Elephas maximus indicus: one gene and its partners. The protein of the gene in region 3 interacts with the protein of the main gene of each other region in a pairwise test. Links are inferred from orthologs where the notes say so. Each region holds a gene or a part of one and is shown on either strand. Other genes may lie near its edges.

Region 1 (7,583 bases), on a different chromosome or scaffold from region 3:
CACCGGGGTATAGATGAATAACCTGACTTTTAATAAATGTATCTGTAATAATTATAGTAAAACCTGCAAAAGCTGGAGCCTGTGTAAGGCACAAACCTGTCGGAGAAGGAAAATTAAAATATTTTCCACTAAAACGAGGTATAGAGAAGCGCTAAGACTGCACCTGGTCAAAGGCAGAACACTTGCAAGACCCAGAAAAACAAGGCAGTCCTGCTGAGTTCCAGCTCTCACAGGTTTCACTGTACCACGTTTGTGTTTCTAAATAAGAAATCCAGAGGTAGTACAAGATTTACACGTCTTTATGTTGTGTCTCAGGTATTTATTGTCTCCATTCCCTTCACATGCTGTCAATTTTTTAAAACCTTTTTTTCTGATACATGTACTACATATGTATTTTGGAAAAATGAAAATAAAAAAAGCCAAGATAAACAAGACTAATTACCACATAGAAATAAAACATTCTGTTTTTTATATTTTCATACTTTTCTTCTATTCATATATATGTATATACTATAAATACGCAAGCTTTTAAATGAGATTATCTATAGGCTGCTTTTTAAACTGCTTTATTAACTTTACAATATATAACAAACATCTTTCCATGCAAATTGATGAAACTCCCCTGCTGACAGATAAGCTAACAGACCAGGTCAAAATGAAATCTCCAGTCAGAAAATGACAGAACACCAAAAGGTTCACATTAAGGGTACATCAAGAAAATTTAAGTTTGAGAAGCAGGAGGTTTATGATTATTAGCCTCATGATTCAAGGCATAAGGCAAAACTCATCATGATGGTCATGGTGAGGAGGGTCCCCTATAAGAATGCGCAGGCTGTACCTCAGCTGCAGCTCCCTAATTTTCCTCCTTAACTCTCTCATCTCCTCCATGAACCGTTCCATATCATCTGCATCACCATCGATCAAATCAATGTTATTGACAAGCCTATTGGGCACATCCCCTCTAAACTCCTGCGCAGGTGGAGCCTGGCCTCCTCTGATATTTCCTGCAGGCTCCTCGCCTTCAACCCCTTCCAAAGGGCGGGCTTCCTCTCCATTCTGCATGGGGACCTGCTCCCTCCCTTCATTTTCCTGGGGGACGTTTTCCATGTTGAGATTTTTTTCCCTGCTTCTTCTTCCTAGGAGAAAAAAAGCAAGAAAAGGAATCGAATGCTTGATAACAACAGGTTTCAGAGCTCTGGCTGGTAAAGGTTTTCCCACCTGATTTTGTGAGCCCTTTAGGGGGCTCCCCAAACCCACCCTCTCCCTTCCCCACTCCAAATCCACCATTTTCCCTGCAAATCCTTCCCCTGGCCCCTCCAGGCACCAAAATGGAGGACGGCCGGTGGGCGGGGCAGTAGCGAGAGACTAGGTCTCAGCTTCCTGGGATACAGATCTGCCCTCCAGGGGCATCCCAGACCTTGCCCCACTACTCCCTTCTTCACCCCTCACTGGCCCACCACTCTGGCAGGGAGGGCTGTGAGTACCCCAGATTCTGTTCTGATCTGATACCCACATACAACAGGGCCCCAGGCAGCCCCTTACCTGCAGGGATCTAAGGCAGGCTTCTCTTAGCCTTGAGATCTGCCACGCCAACGGACCTAAGACCTGCAGACAGAAATGAGAAAATGGCCGGCCGGCACTGCCCACTTGATCAAAAGACCAGTATGGGGGCACCAGCTCCGTTGTTGATTTAGGGCTCTCCTTATCAAGTGTTGCCACCTTCTGGTTCTCCACCATCCTGTCTCAGGGCTTCCTTTCCTGTCCTGTGATGTGCTATCTCTCTCTCCAGAAATACCCATCATAATCAAAGATGATTATTTTTAAACCATTTTAACCTCTTCCTTAGGCACCTTATCCCCGCTGTCTCGTCACACTCATCACCTAATTACCATTTCTTGCACGCAAATGGGCAACATGCGAGGCAAGGAAGTCAGGAGAGCTTGCTGAGTGGAAACGTGGTTTATTAAAAAAAAATTCAATCTGGGTATCCGCCAGGCCCGTCTGGGACCCACGCCCTCTCTAGAGCCTACCCCCTGCCACTACCCACCATTTTATGCATCAAGATGGACGAAGGGCGGGTGTCACAGTGTGGGACTGTGAGCATTGCAAACCAGGACCCACTGCGGTCTCTGAGTTTTGTCATTCTTACCCCAAGGTCTGCAAGCCGCGCCCACGCCTACACCGACCTGGAGGGATCAGAAACAGTTTCTAGCTCCCCGCCTCTTTCCCTCAGTCAGAAGCTCACCTGCTCAACCGCCTCCTCTGCAATACGGAGGGATACAGGAGGGGTTCAGGGACCGAGCCCTTGTCCCCCTCCTCTGCAGTACCCCCTTCAGGCCCCCGTAGTCCACCATTTCTGGCTCCAAAATGCACCGAGGTTTGAGAGGAGATGCCGGGAATGCAGACCTGGACCCTCTGCGGGGTCCGCCGTCCCCTCCCTCTGCCCTTCCGCTCCGCTGGACACCGCCTGCCAGCTCGCCTGCCTCCCCGAAAATCCGAGCTGCTTCCTATTCCCAACCTGGCCGCTCCGGATCTCCTCCCCACGAATCCTTCATTTCTTACACCAAACGGATGGGCGTAGGGGAAAGAGGTCGAGAGAATCCAGTCCTGGACCCGCTCTGGTTTTGCCCTCCGCCACGCCAGTCAGAGCCCACCAACCTGCAACAATCGGGGTCAGCTTTTACCTCTTCCTCCTTCTCTGGACTGCAGGCCACAGAAGATGACCACACCGCAACTGGAAGGAGAGACTTCTCCACTCCTTGACTGTGGGTCTCTTAAGGGCCACGTCACTGTGAGCTCAGATCTCCAATTACAGTTCACACCTGCAGTGCGGCAGGAGGGTGGAGGCAGGAGCGTGGGCGGGGCCACCTTTCTCCTTATTCCCGCCTTCCCCTTCACAACCACAGGCTACTGCCCCCCGCCTTTTTTTTTTTAATCCTATTTAGTAATGCCAGAGACCAATAGGGTCATAATATTTTCTAGTTTGTGTTTGCCTTTCCCTTTATTTCTGCTGGAGTTTTTGAAGGTTTGCTTCTTCTTCTAACCCTTAAAAGCCCACTTCTCTCATCTCCACTCCCAAGCTAGTAAAGTCCAGCATTTCTCCTAACAATTTTGTCCCAGACAAGAAGTGGGGGGAGATGGGAGGGAGAGGAGTTGTAAAGCTAGAAAGTCTGCAAGATAGGTAGGAGGTGGCTTTTTTTTTTTTTTTTTAACTTTCACCTTAATTATTTTCCTCTGTGTTAATTTCTATAAGACGACATGGTTGTTTTTGTTTTGTTTTCCACCGGAATGCATTCTTATTCTTATTTTCTGGCTGCTATAATTAAATAACCAAAACAAAAACCAAACCCATTGCCATGGAGTCGGTTCTGACTCATAGCCACCCTACAGGACAGAGTAGAACTGCCCGATAGGGTTCCCAAGGAGTCGCTGGTGTATTCCAACTGCCGACCTTTTGGATAGCAGCCAAACGCTCTAACTGAAATATGTTGTTCTTGTTGTTGTTAGGTGCCATCCAGTCGGTTCAGACTCATAGCGACCCTATGTACAACAGAACAAAACACTCTCCGTCCTGCGCCATCCTCACAATCGTTATGTTTAAGCTCATTGTTGCAGCCACTGTGTCAATACATCTTGTTGAGGGTCTCCCTCTTTTTCGCTGACCCTCTACCTTACCAAGCATGTTCAGGGACTGAACCCTCCTGATAACATGTCCAAAGTATGGGAGACATAATCTCACCATCCTTGCTTCCAAAGAGCATTCTGGTTGCACTTCTTATTTATTTGTTCTTTTGGCAGTCCATGGTATATTCAACATTCTTCGCCAACACCAAAATTCAAAGGCATCAATTCTTCCTCGGTCTTCCTTATTCATTGTCCAGCTTTCACATCCATAGGAGGCTATCGAAAACACCATTGCTTGGGTCAGGTGCACCTTAGTCTTCAAAGTGATATCTTTGCTTTTTAAGACTTTAAAGAGGTCCTTTGCAGCAGATTTGCCTAAAGCAATGCATCTTTTGATTTCTTGACTGCGGCTTCCATGGGCATTGACTGTGGATCCAAAAAAGATGAAATCCTTAACAACTTTAATCTTTTCTCCGTTTATCGTGATGTTGCTTATTGGTCCAGTTGTGAGGATTTAATGTTCTTTATGTTGAGCTATAATCCATATTGAAGGCTGTAGTCTTTGATCTTCATCAGTGAGTGCTTCAAGTCCTCTTCACTTTCAACAAACAAGGTTGTATCATCTTCATAATGCAGGTTGTTAATGAGTCTTCCTCCAATCCTGATGCCCCGTTCTTCTTCATATAGTCCAGCTTCTTGGATTATTTGCTCAGCACACAGATTGAATAAGTATGGTGAAAGGATAAAGCCCTGACGCACACCTTTCTTGGCTTTAAACTGTGTAGTATCCCCTTGTTCTGTTCGAACGACTGCCTCTTGATCCACGTACATATTCTTCATGAGCACAATGAAGTGTTCTGGAATTCCCATTCTTCCCAATGTTATCCATAATTTGTTATGATCCACACAGTCGAATGCCTTTGCATAGTCAATAAAACACAGGTAAACATCTTTCTGGTATTCTCTGCTTTCAGCCAGGATCCATCTGACATCAGTGATAATATCCCTCTTTCCACGTCTTCTTCTGAATTCGGCTTGAATTTCTGGCAGTTCCCTGTTGATATGCTGCTGCAGCCACTTTTGAACGATCTTCAGCAAAATTTTACTTGCATATGATGTTAATGATATTGTTCAAGAATTTCCGCATTGAGTTGGATCACCTTTCTTGGGAATAGGCATAAATATGCATCTCTTTCAGTCAGTTGGCCAGGTAGCTATCTTCCAAATTTCTTGGTATAGATGAGTGGGGACTTCCAGAGCTGCATCCATTTGTTGAAACATCTCAATTGGTGTTCCGTCAATTCCTGGAGGTTTATTTTTCGCCAATGCCTTCAGTGTGGCTTGGACTTCTTCCTTCAATACAATCGGTTCTTGATCATATGCTACCTCCTGAAATGAACGTTCACCATTTTGTTTTGGTATAGTGACTCTGTGTATTCCTTCCATCTTCTTTTGATGCTTCGTACATTATTGGATATTTTCCCCGTAGAATCCTTCAGTATTGCAACTCAAGGCTTGAATTTTTTCTTCAGTTCTTTCAGCTTGAGAAATGCCTAGTGTGTTCTTCCCTTCTGGTTTTCTATTTCCAGGTCTTTGCACATGTCATTATAATACTTTGTCTTCTCCAGCCACCCTTTGAAATCTTCTGTTCAGCTCTTTTACTTCCTTATTTCTTCCTTTCGCTTTAACTACTCGACATTCAAGAGCAAGTTTCAGAGTCTCTTCTGACATGCATTTAGGTCTTTTCTTTCTTTCCTGTCTTTTTAATGACTTTTTGCTTTCTTCATGTATGATGTCCTCGATGTCATTCCACAACTCGTCTGGTCATTGGTGTTCAATGTGTGAAATCTGTTTTTGAGATGGTCTCTAAATTCAGGCAGGATATACTCAAGGTCGTACTTTTGCTCTCGTGGACTTGCTCTGATTTTCTTCAGCTACAACTTGAACTTGCATATGAGCAACTGAGGGCCTGTTCTGCAGTCACCCCAGCCTTGTTCTGACTGACGATATTGAGCTTTTCCATCATCTCATTCCACAGATTTAGTCGATTTGATTCCTGTGTATTCCATCTGGCAAGGGCCACATGTATAGTCACTGTTTATGTTGGTGAAAAAATGTATTTGCAATGAAGAAGTCACTGGTCTTGCAAAATTCTATCATGCAATCTCTGCCATCATTTATATCACCAAGGCCATATTTTCCAACTACCAATTCTTCTTTGTTTCCAACTTTTGCGTTCCAGTCACCAGTAATTATCAATGCATCCTGATTGCATGTTCGATCAATTTCAGACTGCGGAAGTTGGTAAAAATCTTCAATTTCTTCATCTTTGGCCTTAGTGGATGGTGCGTAAATTTGAATAATAGTCATATTAACTGGTCTTCTTGGAGGTGTATGGATATTATCCTATCACTGACAGTGTTGTACTTCAGGATAGATCTTGAAATGTTCTTTTTGACAATGAATTCTGAAATATATACCCTCCAAAAAAAACTCCTCTTAAGAACATAGAAATATAAACTTAAGTAGGTGGTTCCCCTTGTGAAGGGTCCCTGTTTGTGCAATCCTTCCATAAGGAGATCCACTGAGTCTAATTAGAGTCTTGCTGGTAGATTTTCAGATCTTGAGAGCCAATGGCAAACTGATGGTCTTCCCTAAATTGTATTAAGGCAACTTCACAATAGAGCACTGAAATCTCTCATCAATTCCAAACAATAATTTGGGAAGTTATGCTGACATATAAAAAGTATTGTGAAGTATTGTGAAGCTATGATAATGATAAAAGGAGAAATTATTGAAGTTGTAAAGGATTTCATTTTACTTGGATCCACAATCCAAGTCCATGGAAGCAGCACTCAAGAAATTAAATGACACATTGCATTGGCCAAATCTGCTGCAAAAGACCTCTTTAAAGTCTGAAAAAGCAAAGATGTCATTTTAAGGACTAAGGTGTGCCTCACCCAAACCATGGTATTTCCAATCACTTCATATGTATATGAAAGCTGGAAAGTGAGTAAGGAAGACTGAAGCAGAACAGATGCCTTTGAATTATGGCATTGGCGAAGAATATTGAATATACCATGGACTGCCAAAAGAACGAACAAATCTGTTTTGGAAGAAGTACAGCCAGAATGCTCCTTAAAAGCAAGAATGGGGAAACCTCGTCTCCCATACTTTGGACATGTTATCAGGAGGGACCAGTCTCTGGAGAAGGACATCATGCTTGGTAAAGTATAGGGTCAGCAAAAAAGAGGAAGACCCTTAACGAGATGGGCTGACAGAGTGGCTGCAACAATTGGCTCAAGCATACCAATGGTTGTGAGGATGGTGCAGGACCTGGCAGTGTTTTGTTCTATTGTGCATAGGGTTGCTATGAGCCAGAACTGACTCAATGGCACCTAACAACAACAATATTAAAACAATATTGTACCAGAATAAATATAGAAGAAATAAAAGATGAGAAAGCTGATTGACAGACCCAAGTATGGAGAAATGCTATTAAACTGACTGAATTATTTTGAGTTAAATTATTGAAGAAATGGTGCTGGAATAATTAGTTAACTATTGGAAAAATTAAAAAATCTCTTGTTCCTGTCATATGTTAAAAGATAGACAAAAATGTTTAAATAAAAAAACCTAAAACCATTAAAAATAGAATATAACAAATGTTACTCTGTATATAAGGAGCAGAAACCCTGGTGGTGTAGTGGTTAAGTGCTACAGCTGCTAACCAAGAGGTCGGTGGTTCAAATCCTCCAGATGCTCCTTGGAAACTCTAGGGGGCAGTTCTACTCTGTCCTATAGGGTTGCTATGAGTTGGAATCGACTCGACGGCAGTGAGTTTGGTTTTTTTTTTTTTGATTTTTATATAAGGAGCACTGCTAGTGCAATGTTTAAGCGCTCAGCCGCTAACTGAAAGGTCGTGGTTCAAACCCACCCAGCAGCTCCGCAGAAGAAAA
Region 2 (7,435 bases), on a different chromosome or scaffold from region 3:
TGGGTGGCACAAATGGTTTGCATTTGGCTGGTAACTGAAAAGTTGGAAGTTCAAACCCATCCAACAGCACTGCAGAATAAAAGGTTTCTGCAGAATAATTAGCTTCTGTAAAGATTACTGCCAAGAAAAGTCTGTGGAGCAGTTCTACTCTGTAATACGTGAGGTTGCCATGAGTCAGAATCGACAACAACACAAGATAACACATCTGTTCTCCTGTTATTTTTACTTATTTAGAACACAACATTATGCTTTAGGTGAACGTTTACATAGAAAACTAGTTTTCCAATCAAAGATTCTTATACAAATTTTTCCCTTACATTAATTACAGTCCCTGCAATGTGTCAGTACAATTCCCATTTCCTCCCTGGGATCCCCATTTCCCTCTCCCTCCCAGCCTTCTCATCTTTGACTTTGGTCAAATGTTGCCCTTTTGGTCTCATATAGTTGATTGTTCTAAGAGGCACATTCTTTACTGGTGTCTATATGAAGAAGAATGTGGTATCAAGGTTGGAGGAAGACCCATTAGCAACCTGCAATATGTAGATGACAAAACCTTGGTTGCTGAAAGTGAAGAGGACATGAGCACTTACTGATGAAGATTGAAGACTACAACCTTCAGTACGGATTACACCTCAACATAAAGAAAACAAAAAATCCTCACAACTGGACCAATAAACAACATCATGATGAACAGAAAAAATATTGAAGTTGTCAAAGATTTCACTTTACTTGACTCCATAATCAACGCCCATGGAAGCAGCAGTCAGGAAATCAAACGATGCATTGCATTGGGCAAATCTGCTGCAAAAAATATCTTTAAAATGTTAAAAAGCAAAGACGTCACCTTGAAGACTAAGGTGAACCTGACCCAAGCCATAGTATTTTTTAATCACCTCATATATCATGCAAAAAATGGACATTGAGTAAGGAAGACCAAAGAAAAACTGATGCCTTTGAATTATGGTAGTGGTGAAGAATATTGAATATACCATGGACTGCCAGAAGAATGAACAAATTTGTCTTGAAAGAAGTACAGCCAGAATGCTCCTTAGAAGGGAGGATGGTGAGAATCTGTCTCATGTACTTTTGTTAACAGGAGGGATCAGTCCCTGGAGAAGGACATCATGCTTGGTAAAGTAGGGGGGTCAGCAAAAAAGAGAAAGACCCCCAACGAGATGGATTGACACAATGACTGCAACCATGGGCTGGAACATAGCAATGATTGTGAGATGGCGCAGGACCAGGCAATGATTTGCTCTGTTCTACATAGGGTCGCTATGAGTAGGAACTGACTCATAGCACCTAATAACACCTAATGACAGTACCTAACAACAACATTATTTGGCTGAAAGGTGGCTTCTGGGAGTATCTTCAGTTCCAAGCTGGAAGGTGTTTTAAGGCAAAAGTCTCTTGGGTTCCTCCAGTCTGTTCTAGACCAATAAGTCTGGTCTTTTTTTCTTTTTTTTTTTAAATTTTGTTCTACATTTTTTACGCATTCTAACTGGGACATTCTATGTGATCCAGGTCAGAGTGGTTGTTGGTGGTAGCCAGTCATCATCTAGTTCTCCTGGTCTCAGGTCAGAGGAGGCTGTGGTTCCTGTGGGCCATTAGACCTTTGGACTAATTGCTTCCTTGAGTCTTCAGTGTTCTTTGTTCTCCTTTGCTCCAGGGAAATCTCCCACTCTTCTTAATGATGAAATGTTTGGGTGGGCATGAGGCTTGCCAAGTGATAGATTTCACTCCTACATCTAGGGATGGCTGTGACTAATTTCTGGCTGATAGAACGTAAGGAATAAAAGAAGGAATAGGTGAATGCAAATTCTGGAACGTAGAGATGAAAATGTGGGTGAAAGAGGCACCACAGAGATTGCAGAGCAATGTGATAGGAAGTCAGGATCCTTGACACTGTGGAGTTGCCACACCCTTATGCTTTTTTTATGCTTAGAATGTAATGTGGGAGAGAAGTTAACTTTAACTGCTATTTTGTTCAATTCACTCTTAGTACTTTTTGTTGTTGTTGTTTGATTACTTTGTTTTGTTTTACTGCCACCAAAGCTATACCTTAAATAATAGACAACAATATCTTATGTTGAGGAAGTCAAGAATTATGAGGACAGTGATAAAGAGGAAGGGTGAAAATGAAAGGAAGAAAGAAAAGAAATTGTTAAGTTTTTTCGCGTGAGTCATTTTTAACTTTCACTAATATAAAACATCATTCCTTGAAGATATTAAAAAAAAAATTTTTTTTATTCTCATTTTATTTTTAGAACCTTTTAAAGACCTTCTGCGTGCTATGTAACTTTGAATTTTGTTTTAATATAAAAAGGTTTGAGAAAAATAGTGTTATGTTCTATCCGGCAGTTGACAAATCTTAGGTTTATTTTGTTGTTAGTGAGAAAATGGAACTCCTTCCTTCTATCCCTGCATTTGAGTCAGAGATGATTTTATGCAAACTGATTACATTTTTTTAAAAAAATAGCTTTTCTCTGGTGATTCATCATCTTTTTCATTTATTCCTGCACCACGTGTAGGTTCTTGGGTTGGGAGAAGATGATGTTAGGATGATAATGTTTTATTTAACATTGACTGAAAGAGTTCAGAATGCTGATACTACAACTATTGCTTTTAAGAAATAAGAACAGAATACTCTTTAGAGGTTTATTTTTTTCTTTGTTCTTTATTATTTAATAGATGTCTAATTTACAAACAACAAAATATACAAATCTTAAGTGCTCAGTTCAATGAAATTTGATAATTGTATCCACCCATATGGCTACCAACCTAAAACAAGACATAGGAGACTTCCAGCACTTGAGAAAGTTCCCTCATGCTCCATTAAGTCAATATCCTTCATACCTCCAAAGGCAAGCACTGTGGATTTCTTTCATTGCAGATTACTTTTGCCTGTTTTTGGGTACAGATTATCTTTCTTTAGTCTGGAGCTTGCATTCTCTTAGCTGCTTCAGTTGTACATAGACCCACCATTCAATTTTTTTCCTTCTAAATGTTATTTTGTTGTTGTTGTTGAGAATATACACAGTAAAACATAAACCAATTCAACAGTTTCTACATGTACAATTTAGTGACACTGATTACATTCTTCGAGTTGTACAATCATTGACCTACCACTCATTTTGCTGGTAGTCTTCTTGGGCACAGGCTTTAAATAGCATGTAATTTCCTCTGCTTGGGCACCAGTAGATTGATAAACTTCACTTTTATTTAGTGCCCTATTCCTTCATTCTCTGCAACACCACCACTTAAGGTTAAAATATGTTTTTAAACTTTACTAAAGGGTTTGGTAGGTGACATACATTTGTCATTTGTGTACTCTGAATCTTTTGAACACTTTCTCTGTATCTTGATAGTCGTCCATGGTATAAATCCTTGCATCTCAGTGAAGAATCAGACAGAGCTTCCAGCTTCCCTGTTGTTATGGGCATATATGTGTTCATTTATCTGACTTGAATCTCAGCAGAGCCAGTGTTGTTTTCAGGCTGGGAGCTGTGTGGCCAACTTCTCAATAATGGCAGGTGCAGCAGCAGCCTATTTAGCATAGGGCTGAAGGGGTGTCTTAGTCATCTAGTGCTGCTATAACAGAAATATCACAAGTGGATGGCTTCAACAAAGGGAAGCCTACTCTCTCACAGTCCAGTAGACTAGAAGTCCAAATCCAGGGCGTCAGCTCCAGGGGAAGGCCCTCTCTCTCTGTCAGCTCTGGAGGCAGGTCCTTGTCATCAGTCCTCCCCTGGTCCGGGAGCATCCCAGCGCAAAAACCTCAGGTCCAAAGGATGCGCTCTGCTCCTGGCACTGCCCTCTTGGTGGCGTGAGGTTCCCACATCTTTCTGCTCACTTCTCTCTTTTATATCTCAAAAGAGATTGACTTAAAGACACCACCTAATCTTGTAGACTTCATCAGCATAACTGCCACTGATCCATCTTATTACATCATAGTGACAGGATTTACAACACATAAGGAAATTACATCAGAAGATAAAATGGTAGACAATCATACAACGGAATCATGACCTAGTCAAGTTGACAGATATTTTTGGGGGACACAATTCAATACATGACAAGGTTACCCATTTCTGTTAAGTTAATTCCGACTCACAGTAACACCACAGGACACAGTAGAACCGCCCCATGGGGCTTCCAAGGCTGTAAATCTTTACGGAAGTAGCCTGCCACACCTTCTCTTGTGGAGTGGCTAGTGGCTTCAAGCTGTTGACCTTTTCAGTTATCAGCTGAGCACTTAACCACTGTGCCACTAGGGCTCCTTGAATAAATCATGCTTCTCTGTGTCCTATCCCTATGTACTATGTCCTTGCCGCTCACTTCAAGAAATGAGTCTCCACTGTCTGGAATCTGGGTCAGCCTTGACCATGATGCTGTGATGACACCCTGACACACAGGCTAGCCTACTGAAGAATGACAGACCACATGGAAGACCAATGTTCCCCAGGCAACAGCCGGCACTATGGTCTCAGATATGCGAGCAAGACCATCTTGGATCTTCGAGTCCAGCCTGGCTTCGACTTGAATGCAGCTACAAGATCAGCAGCCCAGAGCCCAGATGGGGCCCACAGAACCATTCAGAATGCCAACCTGTAGAATCAGGAGAAAAAAAAATTATTATTTGAAGTTCCTAAACAATAATAGGCTGGTTTGTTACGCAGCAATAGATAACTGAAACAGAAATGTGGGTGCTGTTGCCACACAAATTTAAAGCATTGGGTTTGGATCAGGCAGCAGACTCAGGCTAGAAAGGAAGCAAGAAGACTACTAATGGAGGCTGGAAGAATAGTGAGGAAAATTGCTATGAAGGCTGGGAAAAGGGCAAAAGGTGCCACCATATAGTAGTGAAAACATGAGTGAAAATGTCACCTGCTATAACTTGGAATAAAACTGGAACTGGCTAATGAGAATATTGAAGGTGCCAAATGGCTTCTTTTAGCTGAATATGAAAAGGTATTGTAAAAGAGAGATGACCTAAAGAAGGAGCTATTCTCCTTGCAAGCAGAATAAAGAGGAAGTATGGACTACCCAGGGCTTGCTGGGTTGAAAAATACCACACTTTCTCACTCCTAGATTTTCTATAAGGCAAAAAAATTTCAAGGTAAGAAAGTGTAAAGACCAAATCAGGGGTGCCTACAAGATCCCTTGTTTAGAAAAAAAAAGCTGCAGTCCAGTCATTCCCACTCACGGCGACCCTTTGTGTGTCAGAGTAGAACTGTGCTCCATATGGTTTTCAATGCTGTTTTTTTTTTGGAATCAGATCACCAGGCCTCTCTTCTGAGGCACTTCTGGATGGACTTGAACCTTCAACCTTTTGTACCAGCTGAGCAGTTTAACCCCTTGTACCACCGAGGGACTCTTAAGACTCCTTGTTAAGATCTATGAAAAGTTTAAGATAATGTCTAGTAGAACCTCAGCTAGACAAATGGGCTTCTAAGACCCTTAAGGGTGTTGTCTCATTGTAGCTTCACATGAGGTCATAAGGAAGGAAAAAAGCATTTTCCTAAGTGGAGCCTATAATAAGTAGAGTCACTTCTTTCGTAATGCACATTATGTCCCAGGTCAATGTTAGTCCATTTTGTGTGTCTCTCCCCTCTGTCCCCTCCCCCCATCTCAGTCTACAATTTTTGGAGTAAGAAACAGCGTTGCCCCCTTTTTTTTTCTTTTGCCATTTTGAGTCACACATATCATTCCTAAACCAGTTGCGGTTGAGTTGATTCTGACTCATGGTGATCCCACAAGTGTCAGAGTAGAGCTGTACTCCATAGGGTTTTCAAAGCTGTGATTTTTTGGAAGTAGATAGCAAGGCAACTCTGGGTGAGTTCAAACTGCCAGCCTTTCAGTTAGTAATCAAGCACTTAAGTATCTGTGCCACCCAGGGACTCCTACACCATTCCGAGTTCTATGAAAATTCAATCAAAGCTTCGAAACTCAGGCTTGTAATATTTTTAGGCAAGGGACTTCCTTTCCCCCAGTCCGCAGTTTCCATGTTTATATTAGCCATCTATTGCTATTAAAAAAAAAAAAAAAATTACCATAAATTTAGCAGCTTCTGTGGGTCAAGAATTTGGAAATGCATATTTGTTAGGTGGTTCTGTCTCAGGTTCTCTCAAGAGGTCACAGTCAAGCTGATGGCCAGGACTGTAGTCATCTCAAAGCCTGACTAGGGCTGGGGAATCTGCTTCCAAGCTCACTCATGTGGTTTTGGCAGGCCTCAGTTTTTCACTGGTTGTTGAGTAGAGGCCTCCATTTCTTGCCAGGTGAGCTTTTTCATAGGCTGCCTGAGTATCATTACAACATGGCAGGTGGCTTCCTCTAGAGTGAAAGATCCAAGACAGAGAGCAAGCAAGGGAGGGAGCGCCCAAGTTGTATGCCACTATCTTTTATAACAATCTCAGAAGAAACAACCATTACTTCTGCTGTATGCTATTGGCCACACAGATCAATCCTGGTACAATGTGAGGGGGGCTCAATACAGGAGGGAATACCAAGGGGGAGGGGTCACTGAGCACCATATTAGAGGCTGGCTACCACAGTTATGTGTGTGATTTTTTTTCTCTAGTTACATTTATCTATCTTCATTATTGACCATCGAAGATTAGTTGTGGACTCTTGGGTTCTTATTCTTCTTCATTCCTACACCTGAAACTCCCTAATCCAACATAAATGCAGATCACTGTTTTCTGTGACACTGGGCACTGCTAAAACGGGAGAACAATCATGACGTTTGGTGCCACTAGAAATTTCTGATCTCCATTTTTTTTTTTTTTTATGTTAAGTTGGCCCCCATTGTTCTTCAATAAAACTTTTATACTCGTAAAAATCCGTTGCTGTTGAGTTGATTCCAATTCATAGCAACCCTATAGGACAGAGTAGAAACGCCCCATAGGGTTTCCAAGGAGCAGCCGGTGGATTCCAACTGCTGAACTTTTTTTTGTTTAGCAGCCATAGCTCTTAACCATTGCACCACCAGGGCTTCAACTTTTACACAGCTCTGTTAAGTTTCTTTTATTAATTTCTGTCCTACAAGTATTCTAAACTTTTTTTTTTTCCTCATTACTGTGGGGTGTTACTGCATCTAGGCCGTCTCAGCGGACAGAGCTAGGATCTAAGCTTTTTCTATTTTTCTTTTTCTACCCTGGTCCCTGCGTGAGGACTTTCTTCTAAAAAATTATGAACGAACGTCCTTGCTAATGATTTCTGTAGCAATTATTACGTATCTGAATGCATCAGTGAGTTTAATATATGACTCAGTGCTCCCAGTGAACAAAATTTTGTTACAAGCTGCATCATTGAATCTCAGTAATTATAAAATTAACATTTTTCGAGTGGAGAAACCTGATTTGCCAAACATCACCACGTTTAACATAAACAGCATATTTCATTAAGTCAGGCTTGTAAACGTGGCCCAAGGCAG
Region 3 (7,369 bases):
GCTTGAATTCCCATCCAGGTTGGCCTGACCCGGTACCCAATTCATATTATCCTTCCCTTTTATTTCCTCCCAATATTCAGTCCTCTAACAGAGGGCATTAGGCATAAAATGTTCCCTTTTGCTGGTGCCCCTGGGAACATGAACTCATTGCTCGGTCAATGGTGGTTGAGGGAATGAATTAGTTGCCTAGTGTGTCTAGTTCCATTGCCACTAGACCCTTGGAAATCCCCAGTTTTGGAGAGGTTATAAAATAGGTCCTGTTCTAGTACCCCAGAGACTTAGCCTTGTTTTGATCTCAAGAACTCTTTTGCCAATTGCATTGGAAATTTTTGGTTGCCTGCCAAAACCACCATACCACCACCACCATATCCTATCTAACCTTCACCTCCATTGTAGCCTGATTGCCCACACCTGAGGCCGGCAATGGGCACCATCCTCCCCAATGAACCTGGAGCAACTAATTTATTTGATACCTCACAAATGTTCATGTCGGCTCTTAGGTTTAGGCTGTCTCCTAATTACAAGACGAAACGAAATGCAACCTACTGCAACTGTACTTCAAAGCCAACATTTTTCACTTGACACAGTTAAAATGTACAACAGATTTTTAAACTTCACGGGCCAGGAGAGGGAATGGAGACAACTGGGCAGTGATAAGATGTCAGGGAGGTCTTTGCAAGCTGCCAAGGGAGAAAAGAGTGAGAAGGGCAGGGAAAGAAAATCCATAGCAACAGTCAGGGAAAATCTGGAGGCGAAGTGGTCTGGCTTCCTGCCAGGGGTGTGGCCAGGGCCTAGAACTGAGGCAGAGACCAAGGACGAAGCTGCAACCTTCCCATGACAACTTTGAAACCGGCAGCTCCTGAGACCGTTTTCCTTAAGTCCCCTTGTGTGCCAGTCTAAGACCTCTAAGGGACAACCACACATTTTTGTTGCTGTTGGTTCCAGCCTTTACTTTCACCATTCTGTCTTTTTGCCAACACTTCTAGCCATCAGGGTCCCATTCTGGGCCATAGGATCTCAGAGGCAGATCACTCAGAGTCACATCGGAGATCTGGTTGCATCCATTCTCATGACTTCCTACTATTGCCTGTAAAAATGATTCCCCGAATCAAGACCCACATTTCTAACCACCTCCTAGACATTTGGAAACCCTGGTGGCATAGTGGTTAAGTGCTACGGCTGCTAACCAAAGGGTCAGCAGTTCGAATCCGCCGGGCCCCCCCAAGGAAACTCTATGGGGCAGTTCTACTCTGTCCTATAGGGTCGCTAGGAGCAGGAATCGACTTGGCGGCACTGGGTTTTCCTAGACATTTATTTCCTCTGGGATATGTTATTCTCATCTTAAACTCACTATGTCCAAACTAAAGTTCTCTCTCTTTCCTTCAAACGTGCACCTCTTCCAGACTTCCCCATCCTGGCTAGAACCCTGGAATCTTCTCTGGTGTCTCCCCTCATCTGGACCCTCATTCCAGAGGCAGTCACCAAGCAGTTACCATCTTCCCATTCTTTCCATGGTCACTGCCACCACCAGAGCCCAAGTCTGCATCACCTTGCAATGTAGAATTTGCAAGGGACCTTAGAAAACTAAGAGCTCCTTCCTTGTATAAGAAGACTGATGCCCAGTGGAGTCATGGGATTTGCCCAAATTTATAATGCTAGTTAGAGGGCCAACTTAATTGTGCTCATGAGGAATCTGTACATGAATCAAGAGGCAGCCATTTGAACAGAACAAAGGGATACTGCATGGTTTAAAGTCAGGAAAGGTGTGCGTCAGGGTTGTATCCTTTCACCATACCTATTCAATCTGTATGCTGAGCAAATAATCTCAGAAGCTGGACTCTGAAGAAGAATGGGGCATCAGGATTGGAGGAAGACTCCTTAACAACCTGCGTTATGCAAATGACACAACCTTGCTTGCTGAAAGTGAAGAGGACTTGAAGCACTTACTAATGAAGATCAAAGACCACGGCCTTTAGTATGGATTGCACCTCAACATAAAGAAAACAAAAATCCTCACAACTGGACCAATGAGCAACATCATGATAAATGGAGAAAAGATTGAAGTTGTCAGGGTTTCCTTTTACTTGGATCCATAATCGACACCCGTGGAAGCAGCAGTCAAGAAATCAAAACAAAAACCGCATTGGGCAAATTGGCTGTAAAAGACCTCTTTAAAGTATTGAATAGCAAAGATGTCACCTTGAGGACTAAGGTGCGCCTGACCCAAGCCATGGTGTTTTCAGTCATTTCATATGCGTGTGAAAGCTGGACAGTGAATAAGGAAGACCCAGGAAGAATTGACTCCTTTGAATTGTGGTGTTGGTGAAGAATATTGAATATACCATGGACTGCCAGAAGAACGAACAGGTCTGGCTTGGAAAAAGTACAGCCAGAATGCTCCTTAGAAGCAAGGATGACAAGACTATGTCTCACATACTTTGAATATATTATCAGGAGGGATCAGTCCCTGGAGAAGGACATCATGCTTGGTAAAATACAGGATCAGTGAAAAAGAAGACGACCCTCATCGAGGTGGATTGACACAGTGGCTCCAACAATGGGCTCAAGCATAGAAACAATTGCGAGGATGGCACAGGACTGGGCAGTGTTTTGTTCTGTTGTGCATGGGGTCGCTATGAATCAGAACTGACACAACCGCGTCTAACAACAACAACAACACAACAACAGTTAGAGGAAGAGCTGGGACTAGTATCCTTGTGCGTTGGCACCCTGCTTATTGCTCTTACTGATAATTTCTTCTTTCTGTGCGTGAATGTATTCTTTTACTCAAAAACTTGTAACCCTAATTTGTCCACAATCTACCTCTCTGACTTTTTTCCTCACTTCTTCCTGACACAAATAAGAACTAATATTTATCGAACATTTATTATGTGCCAGGCACTGTTCTAAATGCTTTACACATATTAATTTGCATAATCCTCAAACATCCATAAAGGGATGTGTTATTATTATCCTGGTGCTACAAATGAGGAAACTGAGGTAGTCCACTGCCTGAGCCTGAAATCTCTCCCTCCCCTCCTCTCTGTTCTTCACTTTCTTTTTTCCAATGCTCGTCAGGTCCTCTCTGTTCCAACAGCTCTACTCTGATTACCCCTAGCATCCAGCTACCTTACCCCTCTTACCCAGAACACTTAATCATCCATTTGCCCTGCCCTCCTTGGCACTCAGTGTATCCTGCCTTGCGTTAGTTCTCTGTATCGGTGTTTGTGTCCCATTCCCCGTGAGAGCCCGAGTCACTCCTTAGCGGACAGTGACTGAGTCTTCTATGCCTCTGCTATCTGGGCACTTCTACAGTGCATAGCGCCTGGCATACAGTGCTCTCTTTCTCCTTTCTGTCTAGAGCTCCAGCTTCTCTCTCTTAAGCCTCCCACCACACAGGGAGATCCTGGTCCAGGACACAGCACTGAGGAATAGATAGATGGTGAAGGAGGACCAAGCTTACAGACTCAGGTACCTCACAAGGAGCTTTGAGATCAGGCTAATGGCTGAATGTGACTGAGGACCGTATCTGCTACAGAGGCTATCAGATTTGTCTCCAGGTAGGGAGTGGCTTCCTTTGGTGCTGTACAGATAAGTCCCAATTCACCCCACCCCCAGTTATGACCTGACCGTCCTCACCATGGCCAGCCTGGACCCATAGTCATTTGGTCCTTGAAGAAGGAGATTCTCCTGTTGCCTGTGTCCTTTCCACTGTTGGACAGAAGACTGCCCTCCTCCCATCTCCAGATTCCTGTCTTCCTCTTCTGTGTTCTCTGAATTTCCTGCCTGCCTCAGTGGAGTCCTTTCTTCCTTTTCCTCCCTGGCCCAGGGCCTCTCTCCCCTCTCCTCCTTTTTCCCAGGACAATGGCCTGGGTTTTTAGATTCTAATCTCAGCCCTACTCTTGAATTGCTGTACTACCTTGGACAAATCACTTCCCTACTCTGGTGTCAATTTTCACATCTATAAAAGGAATCAGATGGACAAGCTGGTGAATGATGTCCTGAGCCCTGCAAGTTCATTCTCTCCTCTACAGTCCTTCTCTCCCCGCTGGGCCCCTCTCCCAGGCGAGGCCTGCCCTAGCCCCAGGAGAGCTGTGGTTCTGGCTCCTGTTGCCTGTCTATGGACCAGCCCTGGGCCTCCTCCCCAGCTCTGGCCCCGGCTCCATGTGGCCCATCTGAGAGGCTGGCCCCAAGCCCAGTGGCAACTCCACATTTCTCTGTTTTTCCTTTTTTTTCCCCCTCTTTCCCTGAGTTAACAAGAAGCAGATGTGGCGCACGATGGTTGGAGAGGTGGGAGGGGAAGGGGGAGGCTGGATCGCCAGCCAGACAAGGGGGAAGGGAGGGGAGTGAGCAAGGGAGGGAGGCAGGAGGCCAGGGCCCGCCCCACAGCCACCCCTTGTGCCTCTGAACAGCCACAGGGGCAAAGCCCTGTCACCCCCAGGATCTGGTCATCAGGGGAAAAGGACAGGGAGACCAGAGAAGAGCCAGCTGGGGCTAGGGGGCGGAGGCCCAGGAAGCAGCATCTGAGAGGGGCAGGGACCAGGCACAGGAGGCCAGGGGCACAGAGAACAAACTCCCCTCAGAAGTGGAGAAGAGGAGAGCGGAAGGAACCAAGGGAGGGACAGACGGGAGCCTGAGGAGGAAAGAGGAGGGGGAGAGGGGTCAGGCCAGGCAGCCAAGGAAGAGACGGTGTGGGGGCCGCAGGCAGGAAGCCTGGGACGGGGACAGCGAGCTCTGTCCTGCCGAGCCGCGGCATCCCCCAGGGCCGGGCAGTGGTGCCAGCTGCCAGGCCGGGATGTGCCACTGAGAGCTACCAAGGAGCGCCCCAACCATGGCCCCCAGCGCCCTCTGGAGCTGCTACCTCTGCTGCCTGCTGACCGCCTCCGCGGGGGCAGCTAGCCACCCTCCTCGTGGCTACAGCCTCTATACGGGGGGCGGCAGGGCCCTCAGCCCCGGGGCGCCCCAAGCCCAGAATGCCCCGCGGCCTGCAAGCAGACACAGGTAAGAGGAGGCCCAGCCCCAGGCTGGAGGTGGATGGGTTGGCTGGTTGGAAGGTGGACATGCTGCCACCGCGTTGGCTACCCTGCCCTGGGCTGTCTCCCCAGGTGTAGGGAAGGGGGGAGAGAGGAAAGCTTATCCATCAGGTAGCTCCTCAAATGCCCACCTTCCCAGAGGTCTGTTTCCAGGGCCCCCTGCACTGATTGGCTCCCGGGTAACCTGAGGGGGATCAGCGCCCACATCCCCCCAGGGGGACCTGTAGTTTGGTGCCCAGGGAAGCCACCCGTAGGGGTGTGGCCAGGCCTTCCTGACAGCTGCCTGGTGAGTGCCAGCCCAGGATCCTTGAGCAGATGTTTTGTCCTTTCTAGGGCTTCCTTGGCCCCATCCAGTAATCTGTAAGTCTGACACCACTCTTGCTCCCGAGCAGGACACAGATCAAAGGCCAGCATGAATGGGGCAAGTGTGTGGAACTGCTAGCCTCAAGGGAGGCAGGGTTCATCAATAGCTTATTCTCTACTTAACCTTGAACTGGATCATGGCCTGCTCCATGTCTTCTCCCCTGAGGCACCGGTGGATGCCAGCATCCAGGGGATCATCCCCAGGGACCTGGCCATCCGGCTCGCACAGGGCATGCCAAGATAAGACTTGAGAATGGGCCAGAAATGGACACAAATAAGGGTGTGAATTCAGAGGCTCTGCAGGTCCCCACAGCCATGAGTACTGACTTCTCTGGTTGTGCTTTTCCATTTTGGGCCTCTCCCATCTTGAAAAGTCTTTATCTGCTCCTGGTGCACAGGAAAGCATGGGAGAGCTGCCCCTGCCAAAGCCCTGGCTCTCGCTGGTTGCCCAGGGCCCTTCATTTTCTGATGTCACTCAGTCCCGCTGGTAGTCCCTGGGGCCTCCTCTGGGGCATGTGTCTCTGGTCCTTGGGCCCAGGTGGGGTTGTGTCTACAGGAACTGGTGTGCCTATGTGGTGACCCGGACAGTGAGCTGTGTCCTTGAGGATGGAGTGGAGACCTTCGTCAAGCCCGACTATCAGCCGTGTGGCTGGGGCCAGCCCCAATGTCCCCGCAGTATCATGTGAGCTCCCTCTGCTGGGGCATGGACTGGGCCAGTGGGCACTTGGTGGGGGCTGACCAAAGGCCAAAATATTGGTGGCCAACTCAGGGAATTCGTACAAAGCAAGCAGGCAGCAAGGGGCAAGACTAGGCAGCCACAGTCAGAGCCATTTTGAGGAGATGCTATGGCAAGTTTGGCTGGTGGGATACCGAGGGCAACCCCACCTAGACCACGTGCCAACCCCCAAATGCCTTCTGTGGGCTGGGGCCATCCTCAAGGAGAGGAGTTCAAAGTTCCAGCACAGGGCAAGGAGAGTAAGAGCAGTGATTTGGCCCTTGGCCAACAAGCTGACAGCTGTCAACTGAGCAAGGCCACATGCTAGACACTAAGGGGGACCCAGCTGCTCATCTCTGAGGACAGGGGCCAGGGCCACTGATAGGACAAGGAGGAAATAAAGAGGCCTCCCTCCACCTCTCCCAGGTACCGAAGCTTCCTCCGCCCTCGATACCGTGTGGCCTACAAGACAGTGTCGGATATGGAGTGGCGGTGCTGTCAGGGGTACGGGGGCGATGATTGTGGTGAGGGTCCTGCCCCAGCGCTGGGCCCCGCTTCTACCACACCACGCCCTCGGCCCCGGCCTGCCCGCCCCAACCTCTCTGGCTCCAGTGCAGGCAGCCACCTCAGTGGGCTAGGGGGAGAAGGTGAGTAGGGAGCTGCTGGGGAGAGAAGTGGGAGACCATCCTAGGTGGAAAATGTGGGGCCGGGTTGCTGAGGAAAACCCCAGACTGCTCTAAGTCAGGGGAAGGAAAGGGAGAGAAGGGAGCTGATGAGATCCCTGAGATTCTCTGTGTGTGTGTGTGTGTGTGTGTGTGGTGTGTGTGTGTGGTGTGTGTGTGTGTGAGAGAGAGAGAGAGAGAGAGACAGAATAGTGCTCACATGCGCCCACTTGTGACCAAGATGCTTCCTCATTGGGAACAGCTGTGGGAGGAAGGGGGATTCCATTGAGAAACTTGGTCCTTGGGGATAGACAGTTGAGACTACAAGTCCTAGCATGCACTGCAACATGTCCCAGGCCCCTCTGGCCTTTGGTGACTGCAGGTCCCAGAATGCAGCAGTCCCTGTTGCTTGCTTTCCCTTGCGTGTGTTCCAGGCACTCCGGATGGGCTGTTTCCCTGCCAGGGAGATAGCAATAACTGTGCTTATTGGCATCCTGGCTGACTAACTAACCCACTACAGCCCCAACAAGCTTGCCATGGAGCCTCTTGTTTGTCCCAGCGGTGTTGTGGGGAGCGCTGCCCAGTAATAGCCACTG
Region 4 (7,570 bases), on a different chromosome or scaffold from region 3:
AGCTCGGGACATTTTGAAAGATAACCAAAAAGAAAGGTGTTTACACTCTAAATGGGGAGAAGAAGAATTCCAAACTTGCTTGCATTTCATGTATTTACCAAGAAGGTATATCAAGACTGAGCTACTCTTGTAAGAATAGGTAAGGTCGCAGGAGTGGGAACAGATCATAGTCCTGGGATGTGGCAGAGTATGTTGCAAAGAACAAAGAGTTCTTTCAGGGAGGTAAAATATTTTATATATGTACACACATATATATATGGTTTTTTAAGTTTTCTGCAGTAAACATTTATTATGATTATAATCAAGAGCACATACTTGAAGCCTAAATTTTGGAGTCACTCAGACCCAAATTTATATGTTGCTTCTGTTATTTAAAACTGTTTGTGACCTTAAGTAAGTTACTTACCCTCTCTGAGCCTGGATTTTTTAACTGATAAAATTAGAGATAATGAGATTTTCACAAAGTGTGGTAAGGAGGATATAAAAAGCTCCCATCACAGTGAGTGGACATGGGCAGCAACTAATAAATATTAATGCTCACCTTCTCCCTACATGACACATGAAATTTTTCTAAAGGAAACTGGTGAGGATATAACAGACCCTTAAAATACTCTTCACATAAAGTCAAACTGATATGGCTCTCATTACCTTGACTGAGGCTGGTCCCTTCCAGTTCAGGTACTGCTCTAGTTCTGTGCCCTTAGCCCGGGCCTTGGAGGAATCAAACACTTTCCTCTTGGAACCCTGCATCCTGCTGCAAACGTTGGAGTGTCTCTCCAGCCTGAGCAAGAGAAACTTGCGTCCACAGTGGCTGCACTCGCCGAGTTTGGGCTCTTCAGAGGAACAGCTGTAGCCTGAGGAGTCTGGTCCCCTGAACAGGCTGGAATTGCTGGTGGATCTCCACAAAGCATTGCCTGGTGCTTCTGAAGGCTGAGAAAATTTCTCTGTTGATGGCCCTGAGACTTGGTCTTGGATTTTGTTATTGCTTGCCATCAGTCTTTCCCTTTTGAGCCTCTGTATCCCATAATCAGGGAACTGGAATGGACTAGAATTTTCTTTCGACTGTCCCCGAGTTTCACTCTCTCTCCTGTCTCTGCTGAACACCTCTTCAGGCCTGAGTTCAGGAGAGAAGACAGGTTTGTACGTGGTGTTGCTAGTATTATCTTTACCTCTCCTCCTGGAGAGTGTCATTCTCTGTAGCTCTCTTTTTTCATTTCCCTCGGCCTGTTCCTTTTCCTTCTGGATTCGTCTGAGTTCCTTCTCCGTCTTCTTCAGCTTTTCCCTCAGGAGGGTCTCCTTTCTTCGGATTTCCCCCTCTAAGCTCTCCCCTGCAGCTTCTAGTCTTTGGATCTGCATCCGCTCAGTCCTGTCAAGCTTTGCCCTGACCCTCTGCCCCTGCATGGCAACAAGAACAGGACCAACCACAGATGAATTCACTTGGTTCCTTGAACCAAAGCTGCTGTATGAAAAGTCTCCTGGCTCAGGGGGCCTTGAAAAGACATTCTGATCCTCATCAGCACCAGTCTCACCTGTACTATGAGACTTCCGGTAGACCACAGGTTTCAGTGGGTATGCCCGGTCTACCCCAACTCGCTTCTTTGTAAAGGGGATGGTGTCTTGGTTATTTGCTTTGGGATGCCAGGATTGAGGGTCTGAGGAGTAAAACAAATCCTTTCCTTGGCCCTGGGAATTGGTTCCTGAATCTTGCTGGCTGATTCCAGCACAGCGGGGATAAGAGTAACTCCCGGCTTTTGTGAGCGTGTTCCATTTGGGGTGAGTGTAGAGACTATCCAGCACCAGCTCTTTGTTGCTCCAAAGCTTCCGCTGAATATTGTCTCTCTGGTGCCCCACTGAGGACCGCTGGGAAGAGTCACTTTGTTCATAAAGGTCTTGCTTGGTTGAGTGGAGCCCTGAAGCTTCCGTTTTATTATATGGGAGCATAACGCCCACAGGCAGATGTGGTGCCAACTGGAGACCAGCCATTCAGGGCCTGGACTGAAGCCTAGGGGAGAGTTAAAACGTGAAGAGTTTGTCTGAGGTTCACTCCAGGCTGCTAAAGTAAACTTCCTACATTTGCCCAACCCACGTTTTCCCTTAAACTTTTTTGGGACAGTGGTGCTGGGTCTGCCAGAGTTCCATCCAATTAGCATTTTGTCAGTGCCTATTATGTGAGCCCCTAAAGATAGAATAACAAATGTGACACGAGTGTTGCCTTCCTACCCCTAGCTTTCCTTTCCACCAGGACCAACCTCTGCCATACACAGTGGCTGCTCCTGTCGTACACAGTATTATTCATAGTAGGTGAAAAGAGCATTGGATTGGAAGTCAGGTTTTAGGTCCGTGACCCAGGTTAAGCGACCCGCCCCCTGCGGGCCCCAAGTTTCTTTACCTGTAAACTGAGGGGTTCAGCCAGTTAGAGTTACATGACCGGAGCTTAGGTACCTTAGGAGTTCGAGTCCCGCTCCACCACTTTGCAAATTAGAAAGCGGCGGCCCCGAGTTAAGTGACTGGCATAAAGAGCTGTCCAGTTCCCTCCTGCTGGGACCATAATTGGTTCCAAAGTGCACAGAGGCCGCTCAGGGCCAGGAACCGGCGCCTGGTTGTCAAACCCTCATCCAAGGAGTCCCCGCGGGCAGACAGCGGCGAGAGTGTACCCTGAGAGGTAGAGGCCACCTGACTCTGCCGCGGCTGCGTTTAGATCCAGAAAGCGGAAGTCACGTTCGGTCCTGGGGGGTCAACCGGGCGCCCCCACTGGGGACTCCACTTTCGGGGACAGGCCCTCGCTCCCTGCCCCTGGCGGTTGGGCAGTCAGGACGTCGAGGTGCTGACCCCATGTCTTCCCCTCCCCTCCGCCGTACCTGAGGCTCCGGGGACCGCTCCCGCTCGGAGTAAGCCCCAGGACCTAGTCTACCGGACCGCAGGACCCCTACCGACCGTGCTGCGCAGGCGCCCTCGGCGGGCCTCTGTTACTCCGGTTGCCTGGCGACAGGGGCGTGGAGCGCTCGGAGCCCCGCCTCCCGCCGGGAACGCCGCCAAGGAAGCGCGCGCAGGCGCAGTCCGCGCGGTCGGGAGAGGCGGGGGCAGCCAGCGCGCTCAGCCTGTGTCACTGGACCCGGTGTTCTGCCAAGTCTTCAACTCCTTGGGGAGCGGGGGTGGGGGCGGGAGAAGCTTTTCCGGGGCTCTGTCAAAAAAGAACTTGCAGTTTTTCTGAGAACGATGTTCCCAGACCGTGGGGTGTGCCCTTCTCTGGCAAAGGATGTAGCCCCTAGATGTGCCCTGGAGTCATTCTGCTGCCAGATTCCGGTGTCCACCCACTTGGCTGGAGCAGGCCTTCTAATAGTCTTTCTCAGCACTCTCGGCTGTTGTGCACAGGCCCCAGGTATGGCTGTATTACTATCTCTCGTGCTTTTCCTCGCCGATAGGTTTGAGCTTGCAGTCAAATTGTAGCAACTTGGCTAGGTTTTGCTACGCAGTATCTTTTCAGAAGAGTTTTTGTGGCCAATTTAATTATTTTGATTTTACGATGTGTTCTTTTCACGTTGTCACTCTGGCCTGGTCTTCTTAAGGACCCAGAAATGACTAAGCCAAATGTAATGATAACAAAGTTAACTGCCAGATTGAAAATAATCATTATAACCTGGTTTCAACAGTAAACGATACTGTATAAATTGCTAACATCAGAAGAGAGTTTATTTGTCTTCTTCACACTTCACTTCACTTGTGTAAGCTGTTTGGAACAGACATCTGACTTTTTTCTTGTAACTACTCAAAAGATTCCTGCACATGGAAAATGATGTAGACAGCAGCAGTCAGTGTTAATACTACAGCATGTCATATTACAGCCTTCACGTGTTACAAAGAAATTCCTTGGTGGGCCCTCCAGGGCAATCCTTTTATCCCTTGTATTCATTACTAGTTGACTCTTTACTGCCAACGTATGTGCAGTTCCAGGCGTTTTCTATACTTCTCACGGTCCCAATCATCTTAATTAAGAGTGGGCCCTTCCTGCCTGTCGTCTCCCACTGCTTCCCTCCGCCCTGGCAGAATTTCCCAGCATGCCTTCCTCCATCCTGACTTCCTTTCCTCTGTTTCTGACAAGGAAGGGTCTCGCTTTTCAGGAGTTCTCTTGAATTAATCCCTTCCAGGGCCTTCCACGACTTGACTCCATTACTTTAACTTCGTGTTAACCCCAAGTTACACCTCTCCACATACTCCTTTTCTTTGGCTTTAAAAATACGCTTAACCGCCCCCTGCTAAACAAACCTCATTTCTCTTGATCTGCCGTTTCTCATGTTAGGGTCCATTTATTTCTCTTCTTCTCCACAAGACCCCTTAATAGAAAACTCTACCTTTGCTGCACCGGCTTTGACATCTCTCCTTCATTGTCCAGTCCATTGTGGTCTGGCTTCCATCCTTTCCACTTTAACCAGCGGCCTTCCAATGACCAAAGACAAAAGTTTCTATTTCTTCAACCTACTCATTTGATATTATTGATTACTTATCCCTTTGAAACACTTTTCTTACTTGCCTCTGTGCCCTCTCAATTTCTTCTCCCATGTCCTCTCTCCATTTTCTTCTAGGTTTCTGGCATTATGTCTTACCCCACCTGCCTCCTAAATTTAGGTTTTCTCCAAAGCCCTCTTATTTCTTAATAGTCTGTTCTTTAATAATCTCAGCAAAACGTTGAGATTTCAGCTCTCACCTCTGTTTAGATGATATCCAGCTCTAGGCCTCAGTCTATCTACTTAGTTCTAGACTTAATTTCCAACAGCCAGTTTAGCATCTCCAAGTGAATGCTTCTCAGGAACCTTGTTATAGATTGAATTGTGTCCCCCCACCAAATATGTGTCATAAATCCTAATCCCTATGCCTGTGATGTAATCCCACTTGGGAATAGGGTTTTCTTTGTTAATAAGGCCATATCAATGTAGGGTGTGTCTTAAGCTGATCACTTCTGAGATATAAAAGGAGCAGTTTAGACATAGAAACAAAGAAGCACAAATTGGGAAAGATGGATGTCACCCCATATGAAGATCCCCAAGGAACTGAGGAACAGAAGCTGAAAAGAGACAAGGGCCTTCCCCCCAGAGTGGACAGAGAGACAGCCTTCCCCTAGAGCTGGTGCCCTGAATTTGGACTTCTAGTCTCCTAAACTGTGAGAAAATAAAGTTCCATTCTTTAAAACCACCCACTGGTGGTATTTTTGTTATAGCAGCACTAAGAAACTAAGACAAACCATGAACTAAATATGACAGAAAACAAATTTATGATCATCTTCCCATTCCCAATGTACTTCTCCCATTTCCTGTCCTGCTCAGAGCGTCAGTAATCTTCCACTCCTCCCTCTTTGTCACCCCTTCCTTCTAACTCATCGGGAGGTTTTGTTGACTTTACCTCTGCAGTGTTTCTCATATATGATCCTCCTTTACATTTTTATGTCCTAAGTGAGCTCTTCCTCACTTCTCATCTGGACAATACCACCCTGCAATGTCCCCAACTCATACTTCATGCTGTTGCCAGAATAATCATCCAAAATACTCAGGATCCTATCATTTTTCTCCACATTGGCTCCTTTACCTGTAGAATAAAGTTGTAATTAGCATGGCATTCCAACCTCCCAGAATAGGTCCACCTGATTTTCCAGCCTTACCTCCTCTTAATAAATACCAGAGTTTAGTCCAGTGGTTCTCACCCCTGGCTGCACTTTGGGACTACCTGGAAAGCAGTACCTGGTAATGAGGCCTGGGCATTGGTATTTTTAGAAACTTCCCCAAAGGGCCTACTGAGCAGCTATGGTTGAGAGCCTCTAGTGGTAATCTGCTTGCACTCTCTCACCTCAGTGGTAATATCTTACCACAGCTCCTAGTACTGGGAGGTGGTAGATCATATGATTTATAGAGATAGGTTCCAGACTCAGACTGCCTCGGGCTAAATCCCAGCTCCACCACTTACAGGTTGTGGTTGTGTAACTTTGGATAAAATGCTGCTTCCTCCTAGAAGCCTTTTCAAGCTTTCCAGTCAGAATTAATCTCTTTGCTCCTTTGTGCTTGCATACTATTTTCTGTCCTTGTTATAGCACAAGACAAGCTCATGATGACTCTCAATGGGTGTTCGTGGAATTGAATTACCATGTTGTCCATTGTATTGTCATTATTTGCATGCATATTTGTTCTTTAGACTAAATTAAAAACTCTTTGGAGGCAAAGACTATGCATCATTCATCTTTGTATATCCTCCAGTGTCCTGCACCTTGTAGATACTACGTAAGTTTTTAATTCTATAGAAAAAATTTATTTTAAAAAACAAATTTTAGAAAAAGAAATAACATCGGCCAGGTACTTTGCTTAGCATTGTTTTCAAATATTGCCAAGCATAACATCCTGTCCAGGCCCCTTCCAGCACTCAGGCTTTGTGATTCTTTAGGATCTGGATTCTCACTTTATAGTACAAAGCTGTTGTTGTTAGATGCCATCAAGTCAATTTTGACTCATAGTGACCAGTGCGACAGAATAGAACTGCCCCATAGAGTTTTCTAGGCTGTAATCTTTACAGACACAGATTGCCAGGTCTTTCTCCTGCACACCTGATGGGTGGGCTTGAACTGCCAATCTTTCAGATAGCAGCTGAGGGCTTAACTATAGCACCACCAGGGCTCCTTATAGTGGAAAGCTAGTGGAGTGATGACTCACCAGAGCCTCCATTGGAAGCCTGTCTCACCAAACCAGCCAACCTGGCATATTCACATGTGGAGGGTTATGGTATGAAGGGAGGTAATGTATACAAGCAGTCCAAATAGCAACGAGAAATACCAGCTTTCCTTTATACACAGTATTAATCATAAGGCTAGCTGGACTCAGATGCCTACAACTGGACCCTAATTTTAACCATCCTAACCCACAACCTCCCTAGACAATTCTCTTTTCCAAAAATAAACTCATGCAATTTGATTATTTGCCTTAGATTGTCTGACTCAACTGTGATTCTGGAGCCATGAAGTTATTGTGCTTTCTTTTTTTAGATAAGTGTTATTTGAAATTTTCTTAGTAAATTAGATTATGATGGGCAGCTTCCAGAACACAGAAGAAATAACCCCAAATGGGACCTCTTGTGGAGCCCTGGTGGCTTAGTGGTTAAGAGCTCAGCTGCTAACCAAAAGGTTGGCAGTTCAAATGCACCAGCTGCTCCTTGAAAACTGTGGGGCGGTTCTCCTCTGTCCTATAGGGTCGGTATGAGTTGGAATGGACTCGAAAGCAACGGTTTTGGATTGGTTGGTTTGTTTTGCGGGGAGGACTTTTTGTACATTTGTCTCTCCTGCCAGACCTAGGCATGGCCCCAAATTTGGGGAGGAGTGGAAGAAAAAGTTAGGGCAGAAAGGTTGTAGGTTGTATGTATCCTATTTATTTGTGATGTTTAACCTTTAGAATCTAAGCTCCTCCGGGGCAGGGATCCTGTGTGTTTTGTCCACTTGTGTGTGTCAAGCACCTAGAGCAGTGCCTGGCACACAGTAGTCTCTCAATAAATACTTATTGAATGATTGAATGTATCCTAAGTGCTCCTTCCTGTATGTATT

What was found.
Region 1: the proteins of EMILIN1 (region 3) and protein BEX5-like interact in binary tests that used the Homo sapiens proteins (3 or more experiments, as listed by UniProt). The two-hybrid records come from large-scale screens. The link is inferred for Elephas maximus indicus from reciprocal best matches to the Homo sapiens genes EMILIN1 and BEX5.
Region 2: the proteins of EMILIN1 (region 3) and NMI interact in binary tests that used the Homo sapiens proteins (3 or more experiments, as listed by UniProt). The two-hybrid records come from large-scale screens. The link is inferred for Elephas maximus indicus from reciprocal best matches to the Homo sapiens genes EMILIN1 and NMI.
Region 4: the proteins of EMILIN1 (region 3) and ZC2HC1C interact in binary tests that used the Homo sapiens proteins (3 or more experiments, as listed by UniProt). The two-hybrid records come from large-scale screens. The link is inferred for Elephas maximus indicus from reciprocal best matches to the Homo sapiens genes EMILIN1 and ZC2HC1C.

Annotation. Positions count from the first base shown.
Region 1 is NC_064846.1:55,282,401-55,289,983, reverse strand, and holds protein BEX5-like, read right to left. Parts: upstream 2,755-7,583; 5' UTR 2,685-2,754; exon of another isoform or gene 2,659-2,684; intron 1,606-2,658; 5' UTR 1,543-1,605; intron 1,137-1,542; 5' UTR 1,108-1,136; coding exon 766-1,107; 3' UTR 512-765; downstream 1-511.
Region 2 is NC_064824.1:48,472,128-48,479,562, reverse strand, and holds the start of NMI (N-myc-interactor), read left to right. Parts: upstream 1-4,431; coding exon 4,432-4,610; intron 4,611-7,435. UniProt on the Homo sapiens protein: Acts as a signaling pathway regulator involved in innate immune system response.
Region 3 is NC_064830.1:45,440,823-45,448,191, forward strand, and holds the start of EMILIN1 (EMILIN-1), read left to right. Parts: upstream 1-4,359; 5' UTR 4,360-4,831; coding exon 4,832-5,001; intron 5,002-5,952; coding exon 5,953-6,078; intron 6,079-6,537; coding exon 6,538-6,758; intron 6,759-7,369. UniProt on the Homo sapiens protein: Involved in elastic and collagen fibers formation. It is required for EFEMP2 deposition into the extracellular matrix, and collagen network assembly and cross-linking via protein-lysine 6-oxidase/LOX activity.
Region 4 is NC_064828.1:87,778,004-87,785,573, reverse strand, and holds the start of ZC2HC1C (zinc finger C2HC domain-containing protein 1C), read right to left. Parts: upstream 3,013-7,570; 5' UTR 2,935-3,012; exon of another isoform or gene 2,859-2,934; intron 2,837-2,858; exon of another isoform or gene 2,390-2,836; intron 2,003-2,389; 5' UTR 1,984-2,002; coding exon 649-1,983; intron 1-648. Other genes in the region: DNA mismatch repair protein Mlh3, read left to right, coding at 3,217-3,379.